2 linked regions of the Xenopus tropicalis genome follow. The protein of the gene in region 2 purifies or fractionates together with the protein of the main gene of each other region. This does not show direct contact. Links are inferred from orthologs where the notes say so. Each region holds a gene or a part of one and is shown on either strand. Other genes may lie near its edges.

What was found.
Region 1: the proteins of hspb11 (region 2) and ift22 purify together in Homo sapiens (affinity purification with mass spectrometry; 3 studies listed by BioGRID and IntAct, with this or other methods). This does not show direct contact. The link is inferred for Xenopus tropicalis from reciprocal best matches to the Homo sapiens genes IFT25 and IFT22.

Annotation. Positions count from the first base shown.
Region 1 is NC_030678.2:47,033,303-47,037,646, reverse strand, and holds the start of ift22 (intraflagellar transport protein 22 homolog), read right to left. Parts: upstream 2,979-4,344; 5' UTR 2,950-2,978; exon of another isoform or gene 2,911-2,949; intron 1-2,910. UniProt on the Homo sapiens protein: Small GTPase-like component of the intraflagellar transport (IFT) complex B.
Region 2 is NC_030680.2:97,386,595-97,391,057, forward strand, and holds the start of hspb11 (intraflagellar transport protein 25 homolog), read right to left. Parts: upstream 3,031-4,463; 5' UTR 2,930-3,030; coding exon 2,829-2,929; intron 1,597-2,828; coding exon 1,490-1,596; intron 859-1,489; coding exon 790-858; intron 1-789. Other genes in the region: lrrc42 (leucine-rich repeat-containing protein 42), read left to right, coding at 4,206-4,463. UniProt on the Homo sapiens protein: Component of the IFT complex B required for sonic hedgehog/SHH signaling.

The sequences.
Region 1 (4,344 bases), on a different chromosome or scaffold from region 2:
GGGGAATATGTGAGTTCAGCATGTAGTGGGGGAGTTCAGTCCTGTCTGACCCTGCCAGCCTATGGCTGAAATAGACACATACTGTATGGACAGAATTATCAACACTGGAATTTAAGCATTATCGAAATTTGAGCTAATTTATTAAAATATAAATATTAAATATATAAAAACATTACAATGCAAATCAGACACAATGAAATCTCATTTTGCCCTTCATTTTCAGGTCTGCCCAATTTCCAATTAGTCCCGGAAACTGAAATTGAAAAATAGCTTGAATTTTGAAAATGGAACTCCTTTTGACTGTATAAACTTGACCGCATGTAGGTGACAAATAATTTTTGAGTTTATTTTTTTTGTGCTTAATAAATCTTGAAAATTTGAGTTTCGAAACTGAAAATTTTTGCTGCAAAAAACACAGATCACAGTAAAAAGTTAACTTTGAATATTGATAAACCTGCCCCACAGACAACATGACCAAGCAGATTCTGCTGTGATTTGGGCATTGATAAAGTCTTAACTAGCTACAAACCATGTATTTTTTTACTGAATAATTTACAACATGTAGATACCATTATACAGTGTGAATGCCATTATAATTAAGGGACTTAATGTGAATGTATTCCAAATGATTTTGCTGTCAACATTTATCTTTCCAATTATAGATATGTGGCTATTTAATATTCATTTTTATTGTTCTCTTTTGCATCACTGCATTGCCCATGATGCTCGTCTTCCTGTGTTTAATGGGTAATGTTAGTACTTTCCAGTAGGGACTGGATGTACGTTCAGCAGCAATCACTGATGGCCATCTGTAAACTTGATTCTTTATGGAGAGAGCCCCAATGACTTTCACTACAAAGGGCTCCACGGATGCTCTGCATTAAAAAGCTATTTGTAGGAAATTGGGTAAGGTGCTTTTTGTACACACTTTAGAAAGGAATTTATATAAAAGCTTTTTGTAGGCATTTAATAAGAAGTAGTAAAAAAAATTGGCCCATTTTCTGTGCCATCTAAGGAGTTCTTATAGCATATATAGACCGAGTGCTCTAATTAAGAAACACTAGCATTACATTTCATGCTGCTAGGATGTGAAAGAGCATACATTTAGGGGCTGATTTACTAACCCACGAATCCGAATTGGAAAATTTCCGATTGGTAAACGAACATTTTGCGACTTTTTCGTATTTTTTGCTTTTTTTTCGTAGCCGTTACGACTTTTTCGTAAATTGTCGCAACTTTTTCGCAACCATTACGACTTGCGCGAATTGTCGCAAATTTTTCGTAGCCGTTACGATTTGCTCGTATCTTGTTGCGACTTTTTCATATTGAGCGCTCGTAAACTGCGGGCAAAACTTTCAGACTTAGCATGATTTTGGAAGCCTCCCATAGGACTCAATGGCACTCTGCAGCTCCAACCTGGCCCAAGAAAAGTCACGATACTAAAGCTTGAATGAATCCGAAACTTTCATACTCGGCGCGAAGGCTACGAAAAAGTTGCAACATTTAGCGCAATTCGTAACGGCTACAAAAAAGTCGCGACATTATGCGAAAAAGTCGTAACGGCTACAAAAAAATCACGACAATTTCCGAAAAAATCGCAAAATACCGATCATTACGAAAAAAACGCATTCGGATGCCTTCGGGCCGTTCGTGGATTAGTAAATGTGCCACTTAGGATCCAAAGTGAAATGGGCACAAGATTGTATTTACCTTTAATGATAATTACAGGCATGGGTCCTTGGACCTGTTATCCAGAATGCTTGGGACCTGGTGTTTTCTGGATAAGGGGTAGCCGTTACGATTTGCTCGTATATTGTCGCGACTTTTTCGTATTGAGCGCTCGTAAACGGCGGGCAAACCTTTCAGACTTTGCATGATTTTGGAAGCCTCCCATAGGACTCAATGGCACTCTGCAGCTCCAACCTGGCCCAAGGAAAGTCACAATACTGAAGCTTGAATGAATCCGAAACTTTCATACTCGGCGCGACGGCTACGAAAAAGTCGCGACAATTCGTGCAAATCGTAATGGCTACGAAAAAGGCGCAACAATTTACGGAAAAGTCGTAACGGCTACGAAAAAGTTGCAACAATTTATGGAAAAATCGCAAAATACCGATCATTATGAAAAAAACGCATTCGGATGCCTTCGGAGGGGACTGACATGAAACAGCAATCTGTCAACTCTCAAGGAACAGCTAAAGCAAAAGATATGTGGGTTGTGTTACATCCCCAAAAGTGAACAGTACACAATGGAATTTTGATTCCATCTACTGATGGGTCAGTGTGGGTCCATTCCCATTGCTGTAGGTGGTTCACCCTGTAAATCTCTAAGCATGCCATACAATTTAAAAGGGCTATCAGTGCATTAACTAGAGATTGTGGGCTCCCCTTGCAGACACTGCTTGCATTGGAATCTCTATAAGGGTTGGGCAGGGGGCATATATATATATATTACATTTTCTATGAAAAAAAAACAAAACATTTTTGGGTGGAAGTAAGGTTGCAAGTTCATGTAAATGTAAAAATGCTTTTAGAATATCCAGCAGAAGAGCTGCACTGATTGTAATTAACTGAAATTAAGTCAGCTTGAAATCACTATAAGCCAATAATTTGCAATTATTTGATGTGTCCCCGATTGTTCAAGTTGTTTGAAATGTAGAGTAAGCTTAAATTACAAATAGGTTGTTGTTAAAGAATATGGCCTTGCAAAATTTCAATCAAAAATGTCTACTGAAAAAAAAATACAATACACACCATAGCTACCAAAGAGGTAGCATTTACTGGTCTGCTGGTTGAAAAGAATTCTATTATATGTTGTTCTAGAACAGTAACAGCAAAAAAATTTATTAAAAAAATAAAAACTACACCCTCTAACTAATACCCATGTCCAGCTGCATTGTATTTATTTACCTTCTATTTGGCAAAAAAATCCCAAGTAAATCTCCTCACCATGGTATGGATACAGTTTTGAAGAAAGGTGATATGGCGACTAGCCCCTCAGTGTGTGCGCGCCCCCGACATCTCTCCTGTTTACATGACATCCGGCTGTAACCAGGAAGTGCAGCGTTGCCCTGCTGAAACAAGCTGAAGGGATGGCCGGTGGGAGGAGAGGCAGACAGATGGAATGGCTGCTGAAGGGGAGAAAGGCTGGCCGGTGGGAGGAGATGCAGACAGATGGAATGGCTGCTGAAGGGGAGACAGGCTGGCCGGTGGGAGGAGATGCAGACAGATGGAATGGCTGCTGAAGGGGAGAAAGGCTGGCCGGTGGGAGGAGAGGCAGACAGATGGAATGGCTGCTGAAGGGGAGACACCTGACAGGCTGGCCGGCGGGAGGAGAGGCAGACAGATGGAATGGCTGCTGAAGGGCGAGAAACGCTGCTGGGATCAGAACAGGAGCAATGTTTGTGTCAGTGCTCTTCATATAGCAACAGAAAGCAGGCTTTGTACCTGTAAGGATTGCAACACATTTAGGATTTGTGTTTTCGGCTACATATCAGCACTATATAAAGAAAGTCTTTAGCTGACTATTTTCTGAAATCTGGATATGCAAATTAGGCATTGATTTGGTTCAGGCTTTCACTATAATATTTTGGGGAAGATTTAAGATTCAGCAAAATCAATGATGAAATAATGGATTCAGTGCATCCCTTGTATATGCGGTCAACAATGGCAGAAGAAGATATTTGGAGAATCAAGACAGGGGTACTAGTGTTCTGATATATTTCCTTTCCTGACATTTAGCCATTGATCCTCTACTTGCCAGAAATTCACGTTTGGTTGTTTGGAGCCTAAATTAGTCTATGCTCAGGTAAAAATGGAGTTTGAACAGAAAGTGAGATGGTATTTAGAGTACAAGCCTAATTTTTAAGCCAGAGGCAACAGGCAAGGCAAGAAAAATGGCCATAAAGTATCTTGTGTCATACCTCCCAACTGTCCCGCTTTACGCGGGACAGTCCCGATTTTGCTACCCCGTCCCGCTGTCCCGGATAGCCGCCGATCTGTCCCGCTTTTAAAGGTCTCCCGCATGACGTCACACGCACGTTTTCCCTTAGCGCCGCAGTTCTGCTCAGTTCAGTTCTAACATAAAGTCCTTCACAGTGCAGAAGCTGCGGCGCTAACAGGTGCGTGTGACGTCACGAGGAGGAGAAGGAGAGCCCTGGGGCGCAGCCGGATGGTGGTAGGAGCAGGGGGATGCTGGGGAAGACACTGGAGGTAAGGGGCAGCTGGAGAATGTTGGGGAGGACGCTGGGGGGAGCTTGAGAATGTTGGGGAGGATGCTGGGGGGAGCTTGAGAATATTGGGGAGGACGCTGGGGGGAGCTTGAGAATGTTGGGGAGGACGCTG
Region 2 (4,463 bases):
AATTCTAATATTTCCAGCACTTGTGTCCCAGGAAATGCTACACTCTGCACTTGGCTTCAGATTGAAAACCAGGCACAAGGAGCATAGTGCGGCATCACAAGGTGTAGGCTTGCCCTGTCCTTACCACAGTGCCCTTATATGACCTGGGTCTTTTGTCACTCTCTAACTTATATGTCTAAAAGATGCGCAAGTTAGGGACAGGTAGGGGTAAGAAACATAGGCGCCTCCAATATAGCACCAACAAGCTCACCTCACCAATACAGCACTCCAAAACAGAACACAGTGACCTGCTGCAATTCGCAAAGACCAAAAGGCTGTGTGCAAGACACACCCATCCGGGCCTTTTTTTTTTGCACTTTGCAGATGGTTGTTTGTTATCTAAAATGATCCCTAATTCATTATCATTTTCTCCAAGAATTGTTCAGAAGAAAATATTTGACTAGAAATAGGAAACTTCTGAAACTACAGATGAAGCCAGCTGAAGATCTGTGACTGCTGGTGGGCAAAAGGCTTCTTTTGCCAGCATTACACTATGCTTAAGTACGTTTATTATCAATCATTTTCAGGAAAACACTGCATTTACAAATGTAAACATATAAAATGCCACATATCTAAAAAAGTTTGTTTTGTCAAAAAAAAGTCTTAACATGTAGTACCCCACTCTTTTAAGGGTATCATGAATCCTACTGCTTATCTTCCAAGTGTCTTCTATAGTTCATTAAAGTTGCATATGTTACACAATACAGAATGTTTATCAAATTTAAATATGGTGCATGTTTAATTGCTTACCTCTTTCTAGACGGAGCTCAAAGTTTACAGGTTCTTTGGATGTGCTTGATTCAATTCTTACAGATCGTACTGAAAACCATAAAGGCCAAAGGAATAATAAAATAAAATTATGAAATGTGAGTCATAAATGCATTTAGTTAACTGCAGAGAGCAAAAACACCAGTAAGTATAAAGATAAATGAAGAGTTCAACCATGTGGGAAAAAGAGTTACAGAGGAGGTTTACCTTTAAAACAATTTTAGTATGTTGTCGATAGACCTATTTTAAGCAACTTTTCAAACGGTCTACTTTCTTATTTATTCTGGTTTTTAATTATTCGCTATCCTACTTCTTTCTGCCCTGCAACAAAAAAAATCTCTGTGTTTTATGGGGTCACTGATCCAGCAGCCATACTTTATATTTCACCATTTTTGCATTGTTATCCCACTACTTTCATCTTCCATCCTAACATCTAAACTGATGCCTGATTTCCTAGACAGGTAAGCCTTAGCAACCAGTTAAAATTCAAAGCCTGAGAGTGGCACAATGAAAAATATAAATTTATGGGCTTCTAGGGAACAACCTATACTTTTATTGCATTATAATATTATGACATGAAGTAAAGTTGAAATACATGGTACGATCAGTTACACAATAATATTCAAAGTTAACTGCCAAAGATGAAGAAGCAAAAACTAAATTTATGATTTCTCCATTTTACCTAATGAGCTCTGGAGGATGATCTTGTTAATTTTCTGAATGCCATTCAAACTGATTATGAATTCTTGAGGATACATACCAGTCGTTGTCCAGAATGTGTCTGGGTTTCTAAACAAAACATAACATAATTATGTAACTGTATGAGAGAAAAACAAAGTCTGAACAGTATTATCTGGTTGAGCCCAACATACCAATGCAACCAGGTACATACTAGGATCTGAAGTAGGCCCTGATAGACTCCTGCGCAATTTTTGAAACCCAACCCAGACCTCTGCCCTGCATTTTTACGTGCTTTGGCCCTTTACCTGATCTGCAACTGCCTTACCCACAACCTGACCACTAATAAACAGGAAGTGACATCGTGAGAAGTAGGTGGGGAAAAAATAACACATTTATAGAAACCACTTGTGCATCAATGTTTTGAGTGACGCAAGCTCCTTCAAATATTTTACAATTACAGTGCTGACAGGGCCGGTCAAAGTAACTAATCAGTGGCTTGAGGGGGGTGGCATATGGGACATAACTGTTCAGTTTGCTACTGAATCTGACCTGCGTGCTCACAAACTAACTGAACAGTTATGTCCCATGTCCCTAGCCCCCTAGCCCCCCCCCCCCCCCCGTAAAGTCACTGACTAACTAAAGGCTGCCATACACGGGCCAATTCTAGCTGCCGATATCGGTCCTTTAAGACCAATTCGCCAGCTTATCGGCCCATGTATGGGCACTAAAGACGGGTCTGCCCGACCAACATCTGGCCTGAAATGGGGCAGATATTGATCGGGCAGGTTTAAAAATCAGTTGGATCCTGCAGATGCCTATGTTGGCCAAACGACCGAATTAGCCAGATATCGCCCACCCATAGTTGGGGATATCAAGAGAACATCCACTTGCTTGGCAACCTCGCCAAGCGAGCAGATCTTAGTGTGTATGGCCACCATAAGAGGTTAGAGAGCTGAAAGCAAAAAGTAAAGTTCTGGCTATTATGTTAGACATCTGCCCACTCCAGCCTTTATAGATTACATTTTTGCCTAATTATATTGCAAAAATTTTGTATTTTGCGCAGGCCATCCATTTTACCCAGTTTCATTTTTACACTGAACTATTTCTTTAATGTCTAGGTCCTCTATTTATTTGTATGCTATTAGTTATTTATCAGTACTTGCCCAAGCTCAAGCACTATAACACACACTACAGCTTTTAGAAAAATTGCAAACAGGAACATTTTGCCACAGGTAGCCAACAAAAACTACTGGGAACATTACATTGTGAGAATAATATCCCCGCAGCAGCCGGCATGGCTGTACTACTAATGGAGAAAGCCTGAGCACATCAATACCCACCCGTCTATAATGTTGTCTGCCGGGTGTCTGTCATCGCTGCTGGTAGCCAGTGTGACCCGGGCTCCGGCACAACTCAGGCACAAGTCCCCTGCCCGTGTCATGCTCAGGCCGTGGCTTTGGCGTGGAACTAACAAGCAGCCCCTTCACATTCGCTCCACTTACTTTCCCCCCTGTTGTTACGCCGTTGCCTAGCAATTTGGAACGTCTTCCGGTGCCAGAGCTGTGTTCCCGAGTTAGCGTATATAGTGTGCGCGGCCGGGGGGGAAGGTTCCGTAGAGCAGACGTTCCGGGTGCAGTTTACTGGTCTCTGCAGAGAGGTGAGTCTCTGGTTTTATAGTTTATGTGTAAATATTGTCCGTTATGGTGTCACCATGAGCGTGTGGTGATCAAAACTCACACTCGGAAGTTTTTTTTTTTATTCTTTATGCTTGTGGATTTGAGATGGGAAGCTCCTTCATTTCCTAGGAGAATTAGCATTTGATTTAGACTGTAAACCGATTGGAATAGGAAGTTACTGTACAGCGCTGCCTTGAATTACAGAACCATTAACATTCATTTTGAATCAAGGGTTTGTGTGCGGTCATGCACGACACCCAACTTACAGCATGTGTATTCAGTAAATATCATCTTTGATGGTAATCTTACACAAAAAAGAACTTTAATATAATGCACCGTTACCTTGTAATTATCACTGTTTTATATTGACATTCTTATGAACTAGCCTAGTTTTAGCCAGTGCAGGACTGTAGGGTCCAAAGAAGTTGTTAGAAAACAACAGTGTTAGGCTATAGCTCTGCTTTTTCCTTTTTGAATTATAATCACCTTTGCATTCTTAATTTACTTTGTTTATAAAGGCACCCATTGCTAATATGTGTTCCCTTGCTCTATCTGCACATATGGACTCTACATTTTCTTTTACATTGGCAATATATATCTTATTAAAGATGGTCATATATATTATTATATATATTGTTTTCCATAGCCCCTTTTTCATTGTGATTTATTTCATCTAGATGTATGGGGTGAGATTTACAGCTCAGTGTTTCAATTTAGTCTTATTTTTATCTTGTTTCAGGACAAGCTAGATTTTGTAAGCATATAAATATATAAAGAGTCTGCATGAGTCACAATTTTAATTGGAAATAAATAGCTTTGACCTAAATACTTTCTAGTGAAAACCTCTGTCATTCAGACAAGATGCAGTGTCCTTAATAAACAGCAGTGAAACAAAACTACTTAGTTTTTGCGGATGAAAGGTAAGGTGAGATCACTTCTAATAAACTGAAGGGGCATTACCCTATTACACCAATAAACAATTGCTAAGTTAGAATGGAATATTACATTTGCTTAAAACTTTTTTTCTTTTCCTGTAAGAAGATGTTTCAGTGCCTTGAGCCAGAGAGGAACGAGGAGACAGGACCGGTTTATGTGCGAGAGAGAGGAAAGCTGTCAGTTGTTGGGTCACATGTCTCTGAGCTCAGGACTCGCCCATGCCGCCTTTTCTCTAAAGGATTCTCAGTGGAACTATGTGGGAAGCAAGAAGATACCTCAAGACACAGGCAGAAACCTTTTATTTTTACATATACTAAGGAGGGAAGCTTACGCTACTCTGCCAAGTCACTCTTTACCCTGACA